Linked DNA regions of Callithrix jacchus. The protein of the gene in region 2 purifies or fractionates together with the protein of the main gene of each other region. This does not show direct contact. Links are inferred from orthologs where the notes say so. Each region holds a gene or a part of one and is shown on either strand. Other genes may lie near its edges. The genes, in order: LTV1, TSR1, RPS8, RRP12 and RIOK2.

What was found.
Region 1: the proteins of TSR1 (region 2) and LTV1 purify together in Homo sapiens (co-immunoprecipitation; 4 studies listed by BioGRID and IntAct, counting the BioPlex papers as one, with this or other methods). This does not show direct contact. The link is inferred for Callithrix jacchus from reciprocal best matches to the Homo sapiens genes TSR1 and LTV1.
Region 3: the proteins of TSR1 (region 2) and RPS8 purify together in Homo sapiens (co-immunoprecipitation; 4 studies listed by BioGRID and IntAct, with this or other methods). This does not show direct contact. The link is inferred for Callithrix jacchus from reciprocal best matches to the Homo sapiens genes TSR1 and RPS8.
Region 4: the proteins of TSR1 (region 2) and RRP12 purify together in Homo sapiens (affinity purification with mass spectrometry; 3 studies listed by BioGRID and IntAct, counting the BioPlex papers as one, with this or other methods). This does not show direct contact. The link is inferred for Callithrix jacchus from reciprocal best matches to the Homo sapiens genes TSR1 and RRP12.
Region 5: the proteins of TSR1 (region 2) and RIOK2 fractionate together in Homo sapiens (co-fractionation; 3 studies listed by BioGRID and IntAct, with this or other methods). This does not show direct contact. The link is inferred for Callithrix jacchus from reciprocal best matches to the Homo sapiens genes TSR1 and RIOK2.

Annotation. Positions count from the first base shown.
Region 1 is NC_133505.1:150,614,094-150,618,115, reverse strand, and holds the start of LTV1 (protein LTV1 homolog), read right to left. Parts: upstream 2,807-4,022; 5' UTR 2,633-2,806; coding exon of another isoform or gene 2,630-2,632; 5' UTR 2,530-2,629; coding exon 2,473-2,529; intron 1,632-2,472; coding exon 1,500-1,631; intron 1-1,499. UniProt on the Homo sapiens protein: Essential for ribosome biogenesis.
Region 2 is NC_133506.1:65,916,849-65,920,897, reverse strand, and holds the start of TSR1 (pre-rRNA-processing protein TSR1 homolog), read right to left. Parts: upstream 2,803-4,049; 5' UTR 2,776-2,802; coding exon 2,679-2,775; exon of another isoform or gene 2,671-2,678; intron 2,483-2,670; coding exon 2,379-2,482; intron 2,093-2,378; coding exon 1,873-2,092; intron 1,769-1,872; coding exon 1,634-1,768; intron 987-1,633; coding exon 562-986; intron 409-561; exon of another isoform or gene 313-408; coding exon of another isoform or gene 205-312; intron 1-204. Other genes in the region: SGSM2 (small G protein signaling modulator 2), read left to right, coding at 4,006-4,049. UniProt on the Homo sapiens protein: Required during maturation of the 40S ribosomal subunit in the nucleolus.
Region 3 is NC_133508.1:81,490,677-81,494,645, forward strand, and holds the start of RPS8 (small ribosomal subunit protein eS8), read left to right. Parts: upstream 1-1,157; 5' UTR 1,158-1,228; coding exon 1,229-1,232; intron 1,233-1,489; exon of another isoform or gene 1,490-1,569; intron 1,570-1,656; coding exon 1,657-1,763; intron 1,764-2,089; exon of another isoform or gene 2,090-2,193; intron 2,194-2,275; coding exon 2,276-2,375; intron 2,376-3,969. UniProt on the Homo sapiens protein: Component of the small ribosomal subunit. The ribosome is a large ribonucleoprotein complex responsible for the synthesis of proteins in the cell. Part of the small subunit (SSU) processome, first precursor of the small eukaryotic ribosomal subunit.
Region 4 is NC_133513.1:90,222,268-90,226,269, forward strand, and holds the start of RRP12 (RRP12-like protein), read right to left. Parts: upstream 2,805-4,002; 5' UTR 2,696-2,804; coding exon 2,557-2,695; intron 2,006-2,556; coding exon 1,776-2,005; intron 1-1,775.
Region 5 is NC_133503.1:113,412,109-113,415,620, reverse strand, and holds part of RIOK2 (serine/threonine-protein kinase RIO2), read right to left. Parts: intron 3,384-3,512; coding exon 3,245-3,383; intron 2,555-3,244; coding exon 2,438-2,554; intron 2,017-2,437; coding exon 1,841-2,016; intron 1-1,840. UniProt on the Homo sapiens protein: Serine/threonine-protein kinase involved in the final steps of cytoplasmic maturation of the 40S ribosomal subunit. Involved in export of the 40S pre-ribosome particles (pre-40S) from the nucleus to the cytoplasm.

The DNA.
Region 1 (4,022 bases), on a different chromosome or scaffold from region 2:
AACATTTCAAGTCAAGATATAGACATATACACACAATTTATTTTATCAACTATTTGGAGGGTTATAAGAAAAGACTTGGGGAGGCCAGGCACAGTGGCTCATGCCTATAATCCCAGCACTTTGGGAGGCTGAGGCAGGAGTATCACTTGAGCCCAGAATTCAAGACCAGCCCAGCCTAAATAGTGAGACCTCGTTTCTACAAAACAATTTTAAAAATTAGCCAGGCCTGGTGGCGTGTGCTTGTAGTACAAACCTGGAGGATAAAGTGGGAGGATCACTTAAGCCCAAGAAGTATAAGTTGCAGTGAGCTGAGATGGAGCCACTCTGCATGCCACCATGGGCAACAGAATGAGACCCTGTCTCATAAAAAAAAAAAAAAAGAAGAAAGAAAGAAAAAAAGATTTGGGCTGGGCGCGGTGGCTCAAGCCTGTAATCCTAGCACTTTGGGAGGCTGAGGTGGGTGGATCACGAGGTCAAGAGATCGAGACCATCCAGGTCAACATCATGAAACCCCGTCTCTACTAAAAATACAAAAAATTAGCTGGGCGTAGTGGCACACGCTTGTAATCCCAGCTACTCGGGAGGCTGAGGCAGGAGAATTGCCTGAACCCAGGAGGTGGAGGTTGCGGTGAGCCGAGATCGTGCCATTGCACTCCAGCCTGGGTAACAAGAGCGAAAACTCCGTCTCAAAAAAAAAAAAAGGAAAAAAGAAAAAAAAGATTTGGGTGCCTTGAAAGGTTAAGTACAATTTATTGTATTTATATGTTAAACCCTCTCAACATACAACAAAACTGACTTTACTGAAAGCTAAACATGGCCCATGTCCCCAACACTGTTTCATAATACGTACACTTAGTAAGTACTGTCCAACATTAAGTCAATCTTTTCGAGGCTTCCTTGCAAAGTTCCCTGAGCTAACCCAAGAGCTCAGATATTTTACATTTCCTAAGATGAGCAACCAGGAGGCAAAATGCAATTTGTGGTTATGAAATGGCAGGATCTTAGAGAAAGCACAGTTTGAGCATTCACTGGTGCCCTAGATAACATGAGGCTACATTGTAGCTGGTGTTTTGGTAAATATTAACCATTATTTTACAAAATTTGTTCCTTTAAAATCTCAAAGATCTTTGTCTTCCCAATCAAAAAAACATGAATGTCATTTATGTTATTTATAATGTTATGTTCCCAATCAAAACATGAAAAATCAGCAAATGTACTGAAAATTAACTTATAGATTCTTTCCCAGAATATCTGTTATCTGAAAATAACAGCTGGCTAACAATTTATTAAAAACTATTAACATAGCTGGGCGTGGTGACTTATGCCTGTAATCACAGCATTTTTGGAAGTCAAGCTGGGAGGACTGCTCAGGAGTTTGAGACCAGGCTGGGCAACATGGCAAGACTCTTTCTCTATTAATTTAAAAAAAAAAGAAAGAAAGAAAAAAGAAACTATTAATAGTCTACCTATAAACTGACTGGGTAAAGAACAGGACCTACTTTTCGTGTGGGCAACAGAACCCTCTGGGGTGCAGTCTCATCTGCTGCTAAAGGATCTCGTTGGCTCCGGTGGACCAAGTGAAAAGACACAGCTTTCTTCTTCTCTATAAAGGGCTTTTTCTTCCTGTGAGGCTTCAAAGGAACAAAATCACAACAATTAATTAAAACAGAACAAAACGATGGAGAATAACTCCACAGTCCACAAACGCATCTTTAGTACTCATGTTAAAGATAAATACTTTTTAAAAATCTACACTTCCAGGGAAGGTAACATCAGCTGTGTTCTGTAGAATCCATACTTAGCCTTCATTCAACAAATATTCCTTGAGCACCTACTCTGTGTCAGACCTTGTTATGGAAACTGGGAATACAGAATTGGGAACGTCGGATAAAGTCCCTGTTCTTAGCAAGAAAATCAAGATAATTTCAGGTGGAGAAAATATAAGACAGTGATGTGAAAATGACTTAAGAGCTACTTTAGACTGGCTGCTCAGGGAAGGCCCCCGGCAGACTGAACCAGAATGAGAGGAAGCCCGCCACAACATGATTTGGAGTAGACAGCTCCACGTAGGGTATCTACCAACCAGTAAATAAAATCAGGACACAAACAGCTAAATTTAATAAGATCCATCATCTCTTTCTACATTCTTGTTTCGCTATTCAATTTTGATTCTCCAAACTGTGAAACCAATTAAATGGCTTTACTTTGGGCGCAACCTTATACTCTCCCACAAGTTTCCTTTCTCAGAGCAAACAGACAGGCAGACACCTGCCACTCCAACGCCACTGAGGGAGACCAGCAGCTCCCTCTGCTCGACCCCAAGAAGCAGAGGGTGGCTCGTCTGTGTGTGCAGTCGCCAGCTTTTAGTTAACCGAAAGCGCGCAGGGCTGCAAGATCCCAGGGGCCATTCTCCTCTCCGGGTCACATCCCTGGGAGGCTCGGCGGTAGCAGAATATAACTAGCAAAGAATACCCGGGGTGGTGAGCATGGCCCATTCCGGGGTACTGTGCTGCAAGCAACCTCTGGCATGATCCAGACCCAGGCCGCAGTAGTCAAGGCATTACCGGAACCAGCCCTGCCTCTGCAAAACCACAGCGCCCGGCCGCCGAGGCAAACTAGGTTTGCTCACCATGCTGCAGCCGCGCGACGCTCACCCTCAACAGGGGCGGCGATGATACCCTCGCAGTCCGGCGGGGATACCAAGGCCCAGCTTCTAGAGGGCCGGGTCTCTAGGTCTCACCACACGTGCGACTCCAGGACCCGGCGAAAACTTCACGCAGCCCCGGCAGTGGAAATGGACCAATCCGAGGAGCTGATGGGTCGCAATCGGAAGTTACGTACTAGCTGCATCTCCACTATCGCGAGAAGCTACTGGGAGGTGGGGCTACTTCGGCTTCCACCCACTGGCGGGCTGTACTCTTCCAGCCTTTAGTCTCCCTCTCGGGAAAGAGAGTCGCGCGGTTTCCTAGCGTTGAAGTGCAGAAGGGGGTTTCTGCTTGTGGAGGAACCCCCTCTTATAGCTCCCTCTACGGAGACTAGAGGGGACTAATCTAGCATCTCCGTTGACCTGTGTCCCTTACCTATTCCCAACCATAACAGAAAGCCGGGGACACGGAAGGGAGGCGGGCACCCGGCTGGGGTCGCCAGGTTTCAGGTTTCCCCTCCTGGCTGGGGCGGGGTCGGTTGCCGTGACAACGGAGGCCGAGGCCTTTATAGACTGCACCAGACTTGATCCATTTTTATTTCCCACCGTTTCAGGAAGTGCTTTCATCTGCCCTGTTAACCAAACCCTCGAGACTCTGTTGACTGTAGAGGCATTTGAGCTAATAAATTATATTCAGGAATCTCTGGTGTTTGAGGCCGGGCGCGGTGGCTCACACCTGTGATCCCAGCACTTCGGCAATCACCTGAGGTTGGGAGAGACCGGCCTAACCAATATGGAGAAACCCCGCCTCTACTAAAAATACCAAATTAGCCCGGCGTGGTGGCGTATGCCTGTAATCCCAGCTACTCGGGAGGCTGAGGCAGGAGAATCGCTGGAACCCAGGAGGCGGAGGTTGCGGTGAGCCGAGATCGCGTCATTTCACTGCAGCCTGGGCAACAAGAGCGAAACTCAGTCTTAAAAAAAAAAAAAAATAGCATCTCTGGTGTTTGAATGTCAACTCTCTCCCACTGTTTAAATGAATAGGCTATAAGCATGCATTCTTAGGGAGATTTCAGGTTGGTGCTGGCACACTCACATAGCTTTTCTTGGACAAAAGTGTGTGGTAAATGCACTCACTTTCATCAGCAGATTTTTTTTTCAAATTTGTTTCCCCGCTACCCCATTCCCAGTTTCTGGTGTCCTCTCAATGAATGAGTTAACTTGGATTGTATCTTTATGTCCTAGTCATTGCCACTGTATTTGTGGAGTATTATTCTTTTATTACAGTAAAAATTATAGAAATAGGTTAGGACCATAAAGCTTGTCTTGGGGATATTGCTTTGAAACAGAGATAATACATAGCACTCTTATGTGCCAG
Region 2 (4,049 bases):
TTTGATCTACCACTGTGCCTAGGTTCATATTGTTTTTATCTTCTAGGATATTCTTTTATCCCTCTTCAACTCATAAATCACATTCATCCTTCTCAACACCTAGCTCAAGTCTGATCTCTCCTGTAAAGCTTGCTAGTCTACTTTCTAAACTTCCATAGTAGATCCGTACCTCAACCACATGCTATCTCTATCTTTATTTTACAGATGCCGTTTTGTTCCAGCCCAATTAAGCCCCTTAAGGAAAGCAACCGCGTCTTGAGTGTCTTCTATAAACTCAGAGCCAACTGCAGTGCAGAGTATATAAAGTGCTAGATAAATATGTAATTTATCAACATATTTATAACTATTGCCTTACTTCAGACTGGCAGTCTCCTCAATCACCTAAATGTACAGACTGTCTTCTCTGAATTTAAGTTTCCTTCCTGTGCCAACTTTCTTTTTTTTTTCTTTTTAACTCTGGACGTGACATTTTTCAGTACACTGTGCCAACTTTCATATGATTATGAATTAAGAATATGTCTTTCCCCTCACAAAACAGAAACAAAAAAAAGTCAGTCTTACCTCCATTGCCATGTCTGGGTCCTTCTGGGATTTAATTACTCTAGGATTTAAAGGGAAAGGGTCCACAGGGGCATCTATCTGTTTCATCTGGAAATCGCCATGTCCAACGATATGTAGCAAACTGTTTACATTCAGAGTCTGCCCTCGAACATAGCCTGAAATTTTCAAGTTGCCCACCAAGTTATTCTCTTCACTAGGAACAAAATCAACAGCATGGGCAAACAGGTAGGCTCGCCGGTCCCGAAAAGCAAGATGCTGTTGCTTCTGGTTAGCCAACTGCCTAAGCAGCATCCCTGCCTCCTGCTGAGTGTCTAACAAGAGGAGTTTGTTATCTGGAAAGCGCTTCTCCACTGCTTTACTTAGCTTCTTCCTGGCATCTATTTGGTTCTTCAGTGGGAGGCCAGAAATCCCCTGGACAGCTAGCGCTGTAAGCAAAAGAGAAAATGCTTTGTGACCTATTGCTTCATTACATAAAAATCTCCCTGAAGGTCAGGCACCGTGGTTCACACCTGTAATCCCAGCACTTTGGGAGACTGAGGCGGATGGATCACCTGAGGTCAGGAGTTCGAGACCAGCGTGACCAACATGGAGAAACTCTGTCTCTACTCAAAATATAAAATTAGCCGGGCACAGTGGCACATGCTTGTAACCCAGCTTCTCGGGAGGCTGAGGCAGAATTGCTTGAACCCAGGAGGCGGAGACTGTGGTGACCCAACACCACTGCATTCCAGCCTGGGCAACAAGAGCAAAACGCTGTCTCAGGAAAAAAAAAAAAACAAAAAACACCCCAAACCCTGCAGTTCACAACCTAACAGCTCAGTTGCAAGCCCAGAGATCACTGGGAAACCCAACACTTAAGTACCCTAAAGGAATTTCACAGTGAAATCACACTTCATATGCTTCTTTCTCTAGGCAAAGGACAGCCAAAAACAAAAAGGCACCCTGAGTGAGAATCTGTAAATAATGGACCAACTTTAATCCATATGTGTAACCCCCACCACCAGCTGAATATGACCCATCAGTTGTATTCCTGTATCAAACACAAGTGCACAATAAATGCTAACTCACTTACTATAGGTGGGAAGCCCCTGGGCAAAGAGGCAGGAAAGACAGTAATCGCCGGTGCTGTCCCAGCCTTCAAGTGGATCAAGTAAGAACAGGACGGTATCAGCTACTTTAGCCATGTCTAACACAGTGTGTAGATCTCCTGGAGACAGAAGTTAAGAAGAGGAGGTTGGCACCAGCACATTATGCTAAAAAAATATTACCACTATTCAAACATAATAGAAAACATTGTTTGTATACTCTAACCTGGCCTTGCTGATGTGAAAAACCACCGATGTTTCAGGTGGGGGCATAGCAGCATAAAGCTGTGGGTGTTTCCCAATTCATTCAAGTGTACTCTTCCAGTGTCCATATCCTGAAGCAGCTGAATGGCCTCTGGCAGGGAAATTCTGTTGTGCAGGGGCACCACCAGTACCTGATGAGGAGGGCCATTCTTGCTACCCAACTGTCTCTTCTCTGCCAGAACCTGAAAACAGATATCCAAGAACATCTCAATGTCTCAGTACTTCACTCCAGCATTGCATTTCCCACCCACCCACAACCGGCGTCTCTCTGGTAAAAGGCCCCCTGTATGCCGGCAGGGTGGCAGGAATTCTGACCAAAGAAAGGAATGCCAGAACTGTACGCTCGACATGTGCTCTAGGGCTATTCTCTGTCCCTGGACCCTCCACCCGGTCTCATTTTCCAGTTCGAGGCATTAGCCACTTAGAAAAGCAGAGGAGCCACAGTCTCCCAAACCCCGCTCCTCTCACCGCCTCCTTCTTCTGCTTTCGGAGCTGGCTGGCGCGATGCCTCTGGTCGACTCTGCTGAGTTCTTTTCTCACTTTCTTGCTTAGGGTTTTCAGTGCTAGACGGCCTGGAGGGCAGATTAGAAGGGTCTGGTGTGATCGGTCCCACAATAACGTCAGGAAAAGGGACCCCTCTCCGCCCACCTTACAAAGGGCCTTTCGCGTGGGGCCCAGACGAGGGGAGACAGCAGCTCAGTCTGGGCATGGGGAAAAAGACTTAATAACAGCCAAGTAGCCCTTCTTCCTTCTACGCTACCTTCTTACCCTTGCCGTCCCGCTGTGCAGATCCCCGACCCCGATGCCGCCCGCCTTTGTGAGCCTTATTCTGCTGCTTGAGCGGGCCGGGCCGGTGGGCAGCCATACCGCAGCGCGCGCGTTCGGAGTCTACACCGCTTCCGGGCCAGGCCGAGCGCTTCCGGTCCCGTCCACCGGGGCGGGCCCTCCGGGGAGCGGGGCTCCCTGCGCCCCGTGCGCCCCCTGGCGACGGTCTTTTCCAGCCGCTCCAGAGCGCCGCGTTCGCCACTTTGCCCAACCGCCGTGGGAACTTTTCCCACGCCGCAGTGTGCGGTTGGGGGCTGGAAGACGCCGGATGTGGACTCTCGAGGCTCGGGCTGTTGGCCCAGCAGGGCTGTTTGTGCCCCTTGCATTTTCACTTTTCGCTATAAAGCTGCATCACATAGAAACATGCTGACTGGAAGGCTCCGTTCGTGCAGAAGAGGCCCAGGCCGCTCCTGTCACCTGGGTGCGGGCGCGTTGCTCTTCCGTTTGCAACAGCATGTGTTCTTCATCACTTTGAGCAGCCTTTCCTGTCCCTCGATTCCCCAGCGAGGCTTGGGAATCGCGTGGAAGACACTTCTCTCACCTTGTCCGCCCGTCCCTGTAACTGCAACCCGCGCCCCGCCTCCCACGGAGCGGCCGGAAGGGCCCTGTGGGACGTGGCGACCCGACGAGGCGGGCTGGCCGCGACCCTCCGGCCCTCTGGCTCGGGCGGCTGCGTTCCACTCATCTTCCCACAAACTTGACGACGGCTTGGCGACGGCCGCCCGGGATTCCGAGGGGTCACGGGGCCAGGCTGCACTGCCTTCGCCGTGGGCAGGCTCGGACCGCAGGGAACCCCGTGCCCGGGCCCCGGCGCTTTCCGTCCCGTCGGGAGAGTGAGCAGGGAGGAGTCAGGGGACCTTTGGCGGGACCCAGGCACGCTCTCAGCCGCGGGCTCCAGGGCCTGCGTTCACAATGTGGCTTCGCTCCCTCGCAGCGGGAGCGGGCACGTTGCCATGACAGCGACCCCCGCGGCGCACGCCCTGGTCTGCCGCCCTCAAGCGCCAGCGGCCTCTCCCCGCCCCGATCCCCCGTCGCTGTGCGCAACCCCCCTCCGTCTGTGGGAAGGGGCCGGGCCTGCCGCCTGACGTCTGCGGGGCTCGGAAGATGGCTGCGGAGCCAAGCACCGGGCAGTGGCTGCGGCGGCGGCTGCGGGCCGGGAGCGCGACGGGCGGAGTCTCCGCCTTGCGCGTGGGGCGCTGAGCCGAGAGGCGCGGAGGCGGCGAGGGCGCGGGGGCTTGGAGGGCCGCTCGGCGCCGCCTCCTGCCACACCATGGGCAGCGCGGAGGACGCTGTCAAAGAGAAACTGCTGTGGAA
Region 3 (3,969 bases), on a different chromosome or scaffold from region 2:
ACTCAGCCACCCAAGTAGCTGGGATTACAGGCATGTACCACCGTGCCCGGCTAATTTTTTGTATTTTTAGTAGAGAAGGGGTTTCACGGTGTTGGCCAGGATGGTCTCGATTTCTTGACCTCGTGATCCACCCGCCTCGGCCTCCCAAAGTGCTGGGATTACAGGCGTGAGCCACCGCGCCCGGCCCTAAAAAATATTTTTAATTAAAAAATATATATCCTTCTAGCTCAGAAAAAAAAAAAAAAAAGTTAGCTGACCCCTCTTTTATACTCTTCCTAAGTTCCGTTCATTTTGGTGGCTTTAATTAATTGCCATTTATAAACCAAAGATTTCCAAAATAACATCTTCAGTGCAGATCCCTTATAAGGATGACCAGTCATGAATATTCAGCTTCCTACCTGTCTTTCCCAGTTATAAGATTTAGCAAAACATCAAAATGAACGTGTCCAGAACAGCTCCTACCTAGGCCTAACCCATCTCAGTAAATGGTCCCAATATTTATCCAACGGATCAAATGAGAATTTTAAGAATCCTTACTGGCCGGGCGCGGTGGCTCACGCCTGTAATCCCAGTACTCTGGGAGGTCAGGAGTTCGAGACCAGCCTGACCAACATGGAGAAACTCCGTCTCTACTAAAAATACAAAATTAGCTAGGCGTGGTGGCGCATGCCTGTAATCCCAGCTACTCGGGAGGCTGAGGCAGGAGAATCGCTTGAACCCGGGAGGGGGAGGTTGCGGTAAACCGAGATCACGCCACTGCACTCCAGACTGGGCAACAAACGCGAAACTCAAAAAAAAAAAAAAAAAAAAAAAAAAAATCCTTGACACTGCCCTCTCCCTCAATCCCCATAGCCAATCTACCACCAAACCCTTCAAAACAAAACCAAGTCCACACTCGTTTCCAGCTCCACTGCCTTCCAGCCTTTTCCAACGCAGCCGCATCCACATCTCATCCTAAACGACTGCGGCAGCCTCAGAAAGGAGTCAACAAGCACGCATCTGCAGATGCCGCAGACTCCCCTCCTCCAGCCCAAGGTCTGACGGGGGTCAACAGAGGGTCGACAGCCCAAGGGCCCTTCCCCCGCCCGAGGCGCGGCAGTAGACACGTAAGTCTCGTCGCCCGACGTTGTTTCGGCGCTCAGAAACAACGTAAAGGTGGGGGCGGGGCAGCGTTTTACAAACCGGACCGTGAATCTGCGCGGTTTCTCTTTCCAGCCAGCGCCGAGCGATGGGTGAGTGTCGCTCTGCTTAGAGGCGGCTGATTGGGGGTGGCGAGTTCAATCCGACCCCATCTTGCTTCACAGCTTACTGAGGAGTCCAGGCGCCCCGACCCCCAGCCAGGAAAAGCCACTAAGAGGAGCAGCCCTCGGGTTTCGGCCGCCGAGCCTCTCTCTGGGGCTGCGAAGGGCGGGGGCTCTGGGCTCTGGGCTGCGGGCTCCTAGCGGCGCCAACATGGCTGCCGCGAGAAGTAGGCCCCGGTCGGGCCGCACGTGTATGATGACAGTTACGAGATGCTGCAGACTCCCGAGTGCGCGGTGGGGAAGCCAACCTTGGAGAGCTGAGCGTGCGGCCGGCCAGGCGCGGGGGTCCGGAGCTGGCGAGTCGCCAGCACCGAGTCCCAGTGACTCAAGCTTCTGTCCCCGCTTCCACATGCAGGCATCTCTCGGGACAACTGGCACAAGCGCCGCAAGACCGGGGGCAAGAGAAAGCCCTACCACAAGAAGCGGAAGTATGAGTTGGGGCGCCCGGCTGCCAACACCAAGGTGGGTGCGAGCGTGTGCCTGGCCGCCCGGGAGGTCACCTTCCCCTGCTCTCCAGCGTTCTCAGGTCTCTCCGTGTGACGGTTGTGCGTTCTTTCTGTAGTAAGGCCTGGGTGTCCTCCCCGCATTTGCTTGTTAGATAGGTACCAAAGAGGAATGCTCCCTCAGGCTCCCGTCCCCGGAGCTTAGGGTCTCAGACGGCTACTGTGTGGGGACTTAAGCTTCTGGAGGGCGGTGCCTCGCGTAATAGTCGGAAGACTGGTCTTTTGTTTTTTTTTTTACAGAGGTTTAATTTTAAGAGTTTGGGGTCAGGCTTTCCTCTTGGAGGCAAGTAGGGTGATGAAAAAGAATCCTTAGGCGTGGTTGTGGCCGTCTTGGTCGCTTTCGTGCCACTTGCCAATGCTAGGACATGTCATAGTTACACTGACTGTTGCCTCCTCACGGCCCAGGTTCCTCTCCCTCTCTTGCCTTGCTTTCCCTGGTAACCCTAGTTCCTGTCACCTTCTGTTTTCCAGATTGGCCCCCGCCGCATCCACACAGTCCGTGTGCGGGGCGGTAACAAGAAATACCGTGCCCTGAGGCTAGACGTGGGAAATTTCTCCTGGGGCTCAGAGTGTGAGTGAAGCCCTTTGGGAGTGGGTGGGAAAACTCAGCTTTTTTTTCTCTCTTTTTTTTTTTTAAGAGACAGAGTCTCCCTATGTTGCCCAGGCTGGAGTGCAGTAGCTATGCACAGGCTCGATCCCACTACTGATCAGCACAGGAGTTTTGACCTGCTCCACTTCCGACCTGGACGGGTTCACCCCTCCTTAGGCAACCTGGTGATACCCCGTTCTCGGGAGTCACCATATTGATGCCAAACTAAGTGCGGACACCAGATCAGCAGAGCGCGCTACAGCCCAGAACTCCTCTCCAGCCTCAGCCTCTCGAGTAGCTGGGACTACAGGCATGCGCCACCTCACCCAGCCACCTAACCCTTCTTAAGATTCAGCAGTGGTGGCTCATGCTTGTAATCCTACAACTTTGGGAGGCCAAGACGGGTAGATCACCTGAGGTTAGGAGTTGGAGACCAGCCTGGCCAACATGGCAAAACCCCATCTATACTAAAAATATTTAAAAAGTTATTCGGGCGTGGTAGCGTGCACCTGTAGTTCCAGCTACTTGGGAGGCTGAGGCACAAGAATTGCTTGAACCCAGGAGTTGGAGGTTGCATTGAGCTGAAATTGCCCACTGCAGCACTCCAGACTGGGCAACAGAGCAAGACTCTGGTAGTACTTTTGGCAGGAGGTCTGTGGCCTAGACCAAAGCATTTGAAGTTTCTCATTGCTGAAAGATCTTGAGGTAGCTGGAGAGTTCTCTCCACCCAGACTGTCCTGTTTTGATCTCTTTTCTTTTTTGAGACAGGGTCTCTTACTCAGGCCGAAGTGCCAGTGGCACGATCTTGGCTCACTACAAACTCTGCCTCTGGGTTCAAGTGATCCTCCTTCAACCTCCCAAGTAGCTGGGATTACAGGCGTGTAACATCACGCCTGGCTTATTTTTAATTTTTTTGAGACGGAGTTTCGCTCTCGTTACCCAAGCTGGAGTGCAATGGCACGATCTCGGCTCACCGCAACCTCCGCCTCCTGGGTTCAGGCAATTCTCCTGCCTCAGCCTCCTGAGTAGCTGGGATTACAGGCATGAGACAGGCACGTGCCACCATGCCCGACTAATTTTTTTTTTTTTCGTATTTTTAGTAGAGACGGGGTTTCACCATGTTGATCAGGATGGTCTCGATCTCTTGACCTCGTGATCCACCCGCCTTGCCCTCCCAAAGTGCTGGGATTACAGGCTTGAGCCACCGCACCCGGCCTTATTTTTAATATTTTTAGTAGAAACTGGGTTTTACCATGTTGGCCAGACTGGTCTCAAAACTTCTGGCTTCAAGTGATCCACCCACCTCGACCTACCAGAGTGCTGGGATTACAGGCATGAGACACCACACCCCACCTGCTCTGATTTCTTAACTCCGCAGTCTGATAAAGACTGTGGTTTCCAAACATCACTAGAAATGTGGGTTAGGGAGTTGTGGAAGACTGATGCCCTGTGGCTCCTAAAGACTGAGAGTTCCCTTGTTTCTCCTTAAGGCCTCACAGAGCTGAAGAACCTGGAGGAGGGCACCCGGGCAATTTGGTCCTCCAGTTTACTTGATTCCAAATTTCTCCTGTGAGCA
Region 4 (4,002 bases), on a different chromosome or scaffold from region 2:
ACATCTAGGCCGGGAGCGATGGCTCATGCCTATAATCCCAGCACTCTGGGAGGCTGAGGTGGGTGGATCACGAGACAGCAAGTTCAAGACCAGCCTGGCCAAGACAGTGAAACCCTGTCTCTACTAAAAATACAAAAAACTAAATCAGGCGTGGTGGCAAGCGCCTGTAATCCCAGCTACTCAAGAGGCTGAGGCAGAGAACTGCTTGAACCTGGAAGGCAAAGGTTGCAGTGAGCTGAGATCACACCACTGCACTCCAGTCTGGGCAACAGAGCGAGACTCTGTCTCAAAAAAAAAAAAAATTTAGCATCTAAGTAGAGGTATATGGGTAAATTATACACTAGATTTTGAAGACTTCCTATCATAAAAATAATGCTGTAGTGAAATATATTGATTATACATTGAAACGGTAATATTTTAAAGATACTGAGTTAAGGCCAGGCGTGGTGGCTCACACCTGTAATCCCAGCACTTTGGGAGTCCAAGGCAGGTGGATCATGAGGTCAAGAGATCAAGACTGTCCTAGCCAACATGGTGAAACTTCATTTCTACTAAAAATACAAAAAATTAGCTGGGTGCTTGTAGTCCCAGCTACTCAGAAGGCTGAGGCAAGAGAACCGCTTGAACCCAGGAGGCAGAGCCGAGATTGCGCACTCCAGCCTTGGTGACAGAGTGAGACTCCGTCTCCAAAACACACACACAAAACAAGAAAAAAAGATACTGAGGTAAATAAAGTATACTGTTAAGATTAATTTTACCTGTTTAAGTTTTTAATATGGCTACTAAAAATTTTTAAATTAGGCCAGTAGCAGTGGCTCACGCCTTTGGGGGTCACCTGAGGTCAGGATTTTGAGACCAGCCTGGCCAACATGGAGAAACCCCATCTCTACTAAAAATACAAAAAAAACTAGCCAAGCATGGTGGTGCATGCCTATAATCCCAGCTACTTGGGAGGCTGAGACAGGAGAATCTTGAACCCAGGAGGTGGAGGTTGCAGTGAGCCGAGATCACGCCATTGTACTCCAGCCTGGGTAACAAGAGCGAAACTCTGTCTCAAAAAAAAAAACCACAATTTTTAATTACATATGTGGCTTGAATTAAGATTACTATTGGACAGAGCTGGTCCAGGAAGACAGACCATGACACATTAACAGTAGCTACTGTGAAAGACTCAAGTTGGGGGAACAACCATCACATTTTATTCTTCTTCTATCATTTTAGTATTTAGAATTTTTACTTTTTTATTTCAATAACAAAAAATATACATAACTTTAAAGTATAGATAACATAATAAAAGTAAATAAAATTTAGTTCTTGCTAGATAAAACGTTTCCTAATCACTGTTACTGGGCATTTATTAACTCAACATATGCTTATTGAAAAAACTCTCTGTACAAAGTACTGTGTTAGGTAAAGCTGAGGAGAGAAATTTTTGGAAAATATTTCTACCCTCAAGTACTTTACACTTCAGCAGGGGAGATGTTCTTATAAAAAGCATCAAGTGGGCTGGGCACGGTGGCTCATGCCTGTAATCCAAACACTTTGGAGGCTGAGGTCGGGAGTTCAAGACCAGCCTGACCAACATGGTGAAACCCCATCTTAAAAAAAAGCATCACGTGGAACCCGCCCTAGGAGGGAACATAAAGAGAAGAGAAATGACACATCATCCAGAAATACCAGCTGTTGTCACGGGAGACCAGTCAGCCAGAGCTGAAGAAAAGGCATGAGTTGGCCCCTCCTCACCGTTCCATGGTCCTCCTGACCCTCGCCCCTACCTCCTTGTGGGCAGCCGAGTTGGACTCCCAGAAGCGCTGCACTTTGCTGAAGGTGACGTTTGTGCAGTCGGAAAGGCCACTCAGGAAGGTACCTGAGGACTTCTCGGTGACAGCCAGCTCCGCCTCTTCTTCCATGGGCGTCTCAGGGGCTTCCCTTTTGCCCAGGCGCAAGGACCCTGACTGCAGCTCATTATGTAACTTCACAGCATCGACTGTCAGGTCACTCCTTCCTGAGAGCCAGAGGCACAAGATAAGGCCCAAGCCTCCTTTTGGTCAAGAGAACAGAACAACCCCAGGGAAACAAACGATCCCAGCCCAAGACTCCAACCCGAGAGGCTGAATTCTGCCTCATAAACCCATTGCATGCCTAAAACTTGAAAACCCAAGGAGAAAGGGAATCCTCCGTGTAAAAGTTTCCGCTTCCCTGTAGCAATGGCATAAACGCCAGTGGGAATCAGCTGGAACTACATTCAGAGAACCTAGAAAATAAATGAAGGTGAATGCGGTCTATAAAGAGCCATCCAAGGTTCATTACAGCCATGAGTCCCAACTCTGACACCTGCAGTACCTTACACAAGACATTTCCCTACTGCGGACCTCAGTTTCCATATATCTGCTAAATTGGTACGGTTGCCCTTCAGAGCGAGCTCCAGATCCGACATCCTAAGAAATGGAAGTTCCAGTGCCTGGCCCCGGACTCTCCCAGAGGCCCCAGACTCATCTGGACCCAGGTGTGCCCGGAACCCCACCGACGGCTGCGCTCGGGTCCCAATCCAGCTACCTGACGGCCGGCTGAAGAAGCGGCTGCGGGCGGCCTGGCGGTGGCGGCAGATGACGGGGTTGCTGTCGCTGCTGTGGCCTTTCTTCCAGCGCTTCAATTTAGCTGAGACACCAGAGGGCAACTTCCCCGAGCGACCCATATTGACTAAGCCGTGGCTGGGAGTGAACCTAAAGGACCAGTTCCCAGGTACTTAGAAACACGCTCAGAACCCACGTGGATACCCTGTACCCTTCACTTCCTCTTCTTCTGGCGTCACTTCCGGATTCGTGCCTATTACTATGGTAAAGCAATCAACATCCGGTTTTACGCCTCCTCCTCCTCCTCCTCCTCCTCCTGGTTTTGGATTTGGGGGAGCTCCAAGGAGATCCGTTGCTACGGAGGACGTTAGGTTGTTACGGGTTCTCTGGGCTTCTTACTCCAGCCTGGACCAGGTTTCAGGACCACAGGAGTGAGTGAGCCTTAAAAAACTGGAGTTAATGGCCGGGCGCGGTGGCCCAAGCCTGTAATCCCAGCACTTTCGGAGGCCGAGGCGGGTGGATCACGAGGTCAAGAGATCGAGACCATCCTGGTCAATATGTTGAAACCCCGTCTCTACTCAAAAATACAAAAAATTAGCTGGACATGGTGGCGCGTGCCTGTAATCCCAGCTACTCAGGAGGCTGAGGCAGGAGAACTGCCTGAACCCAGGGGGCCGAGGTTGCGGTGAGCCGAGATCGCGCCATTGCACTCCAGCCTGGGTAACAAGAGCGAAACTCCGTCTAAAAAAAAAAAAAGAAAAAGAAAAGGAAAAAACTGGAGTTCAGGCCGGGCGCGGTGGCTCACGCTTATAATCCCAACACTTTGGGAGGCCGAGGCGGGTGGATCACGAGGTCAAGAGATCGAGACCATCCTGGTCAACAAGGTGAAACCCTGTCTCTACTAAAAATACAAAAATTAGCTGGGCATGGTGGTGCGCGCCTGTAGTCCCAGCTACTCGGGAGGCTGAGGCAGGAGAATTGCTTGAACCCAGAAGGCAGAGGTTGCGGTGAGCCGAGATTGTGCCATTGCACTCCAGTCTGGGTAACAACAGCGAAACTCCCTCTCAAAAAAAACAAAAAAACAAACAAACAAAAAAATGAGTTCAGCTGGTCGCGGTAACTCATGCCTGTAATCACAGCACTTTTGGAGGCTGAGGTGGGTGAATCATTTGAGGTCAGGGTTGGAAACCAGCCTGACCACCATAGTGAAACCCGGTATCTACTAAATTACAAAAATTAGCTGGGCGTGGTGGCGCGCGCCTGTAATCCCAGCTCCTTGGGAGGGTGAGGCACAAGAATCACTTGAACCCAGGAGGCAGAGGTTGCAGTGAGCCGAGATCTCACCTCTGCACTTCAGCCTGGGCAACAGAATGAGACTGTCTCAAAAAAAAACAAACAAAAAACTGGAGTTCTTTTTCAGTTAACAACA
Region 5 (3,512 bases), on a different chromosome or scaffold from region 2:
GTAATTTTTTTCAACATAGACCATTTTGAACATAACTTGGCAGATCAATAGCAAGTGATAACCTTAAACATTGTGAACATTTGTCTATAATTTGTGCTATAGCCTAGACGTCATGCTATAGCCTAATCTTTATCTTATTTTTTCTCTGTTATAAAAAATCAATATATTTAAGGAATGCATTTATGTGCAATGAGATTCCATTCCTATACCTTCCATATAAATATCCTGAAAAACACCTACTACAGTTTTGGGAAAATGTGTAATGATCCCTACCAAGCTGCTAATTTACTGACTATTATAAGACATAAACTATTAGTATAAGACAATAAATACACAACATGTATGGTATCAGTAGTACTAGTTTATACTGCCTTAAGAAATCTTCCATGATTAGTAAACATTTAAGCATAGAATATAACGTACTCAAAGAACAACAAATTGAATCCTCAAGAAACAGGTGTTTACACACTGTGCCAATCCTCCATTTAAATTTTTTTTAAAAAAATGAAGATAAATTATGACAAATCCTATTGGCAGAATAACAAAAACACAGTATTATCTTTCGTTTAACCTAGTTATTATTGAATATATTTTATTTGGCTATTATATTTAACAAATTTATGCTGAACTTAATTTTGAAGGCAAAAAGTTAAAAATTTTCTTCAATGTAAGAATAGAGTACAATTGTAATTCATCACTACCATAACATATGTAGTCAAGTTCCAATACTTGGGGAAACTGCAGAGGTAAGAAGCACACCTGAAGTAAAATGAAAAGGCCTAACCCTGAGAAAACCATCTTTGCAATTATGGCATTTCATCTGCAAGGTTAAGTATTTTTTTTCTATTTGTACAAATGTATGAGGTACATGTAACATTCTGTTAAGTATATATGAGTAGTGATCAAGTCAGGGTATTTAGTGTGTTCATCTCCTGAGTAAAATACATTTCATTTACTATAGTCACCCTACACTGCTGTCAAACATTGAATGTGTTCCTTCTAACTATATGTTTGTACCCTTTAACCCACTTCTCTTCATCTTTTCCTCTTACAAACTAAAGATTTTTACCTTTTTTTTTTTTTTGAGACAGAATTTTGCTCTGTCGCCCAGGCTCAAGTGCAGTGGCATAATCTTTACTCACTATAACCTCTGTCTCCTGGGTTAAAGTGATTTTCCTGCCTCAGTCTTCCAAGTAGCTGGGATTACAGGTGCCCACCCCCAAGCCTGGATAATTTTTGTATTTTTATTAGAGATGGAGTTTCACCTTGTTGGCCAGGCTGGTCTCCATTACATCAAGAAATCTGCCTGCCTTGCCCTCCCAAAGTGCTGGTATTACAGGCATGAGTCACTGCGCCCAGCCAATTTTTACCATTTTTAATATTCAGATAAGTCTATAAATGACGTTTGTTCCACTATGTGAAACAAAAAACTAGCCAACTTATCTGAGACATTAAGGTTTCCACAGATGGTAATTACTTGGTATTTTCAATTAGAAACAGACAAATATATAGTTGTATGTATTGAATAGATATATATACACCCAAACATAAAATATTTGTGAGGTAACAGCATATTAACTGTTTTTGGTTCTTCCATCTTGTCAATATTATAGAATGTGTTGCCCTTATGAATTAATAACAATTTAAAATACCTTAACATAGAAGGGAATCACTTAAAAGAGCCCAAATAATCAACAGAATTATTTAGGGATTGAGTCTGTCTGTAGGCATTGAGTCTGAGGTTAGAGAGATGTGGGAGCAACAGAATCAAACTTGACATTAAGGCCTTTGAGACACATGTATTATTTGGCTAAAACATTCATGACTATAAAATAAATACCTTCATATAGGCAAATTCCTTCATGGCAGAGAGACGAGATAAATAAAGCCAAGAAACATTATGCCTATGTTTATGATAATCACGTTTGTTTTTCAGATTTCGAAACGAGGTTCTTCCTAGTCTGTAAAGCTTTAATGCAAATTGCTGTCCTTCTTCATTTGCAACAATGTAAATATCTAGAGACAAGATTTCAAAAAAATCATTATTACAGGTTTATTCCAATCATGTAAAACAATTCTAACTTTGTCTAATTTTATTTGTATCAAAAATGTCATTTTTCTTAATAAAGGCTGAATATCCCTTATCTAAAACTTTCGGACCAGTAGTCATCTGAATTTGGGAATATTGGGACACAAATAGTGAGATATCTTGGAAGTTATTAGAAGAAAATTCCTAGTATAAATAAATTTTCAGTGACAGACTTTCAGATAAAATAATAACCTACTAATTAAGGGTACCTTCTGATTTATATTGATTCCAACCAACTTTCCAATTTACTGTTTAGTTGGAAAAAAAGGAAAATTAAAATATGCTTTCTGAAGGGAAAACATAAATTAAATCAAAGCAAATACTTTCCACAGTACTATCAGCACTTACCTGATTCTTTGCCAACACCCAGCTGGTTTCCAACAGACTCAACGACTTGCCTAGAAGAAAGTGTTTTCAAAGCTAGGTAATCATATCCTGCATTTGTCAACCGGTAGCCCTGGACAGCTACACAAAATCAAAGGAGAAAAACCACATTTTAGTTACACTATATAACCAAGTCACTTAAGTTCAACTCAAAAGAAAGATTTAACAGTGGAAAATCTTTATTGGAAGCTCAGGCTCACAAACTTCCAATTTCTTCCTATAATTTGCATTTCTTCTCCAGTGTGCTGTTAAAGTGTGACCTACAAACTGAGGTCTATATGTGTTTGTGATGAGATAAAAAAAGGCATTTAGGTTCAATTTTATATTAATTTGACCTAGAATTTATGTCTGATTTTGTATCTATCTGTTATCCATTTCATTTTTCTAGTATTTTTTTTTTTATTTTATAAAAGTAAGGATCTGTGATAGGTTTGAAAAAACGAATCCCTCACCACAGATGGTTTAAGTAATTCTCTAGAGTATGACTGCTGATTGTATTTTCCAAAGATGGTAGCCACAGTATCTCTATCCTACATGCTCTTCTGCAGTTCTGCAGTACCCTACACGTTCTTCTGCGGTACCCTACATGTTCTTGAGCTGGGAGTGTCCTGTGACTGTTTTGATTAATAGGATATGGCAGAAGTATGTTTTGTCAATTCTTCGTCGAATGCTTTACTAGTCTGGCAACTTCTACTTCTTGCCTTTTGGAACACTTGCTCTGGAGGAAACCAATTACCTGAAAACTCACAAATGGTGCCTCAAAATACTTACTTTTGGTACGCTCCCAAGCTATGAGTTTATGTTTCACTAATTCTCTTAAAACTTTATTACAGCCACCATGTTTAAGGCTGGCTATAGAAGCAATCAAACTGCCAGGAACAATTTCATGGTTCTTCATGCCCATTTCAACCTGAAATTAAGGGAATCATTATGTAATCATAATCAACACAAAACTTTATCTATCAAAACCCTGCTAAGAAATGAACTTCTCCTTGAAACTTTCCTTACTATGCTGTTCTCTAACTAATTCTGAGACATA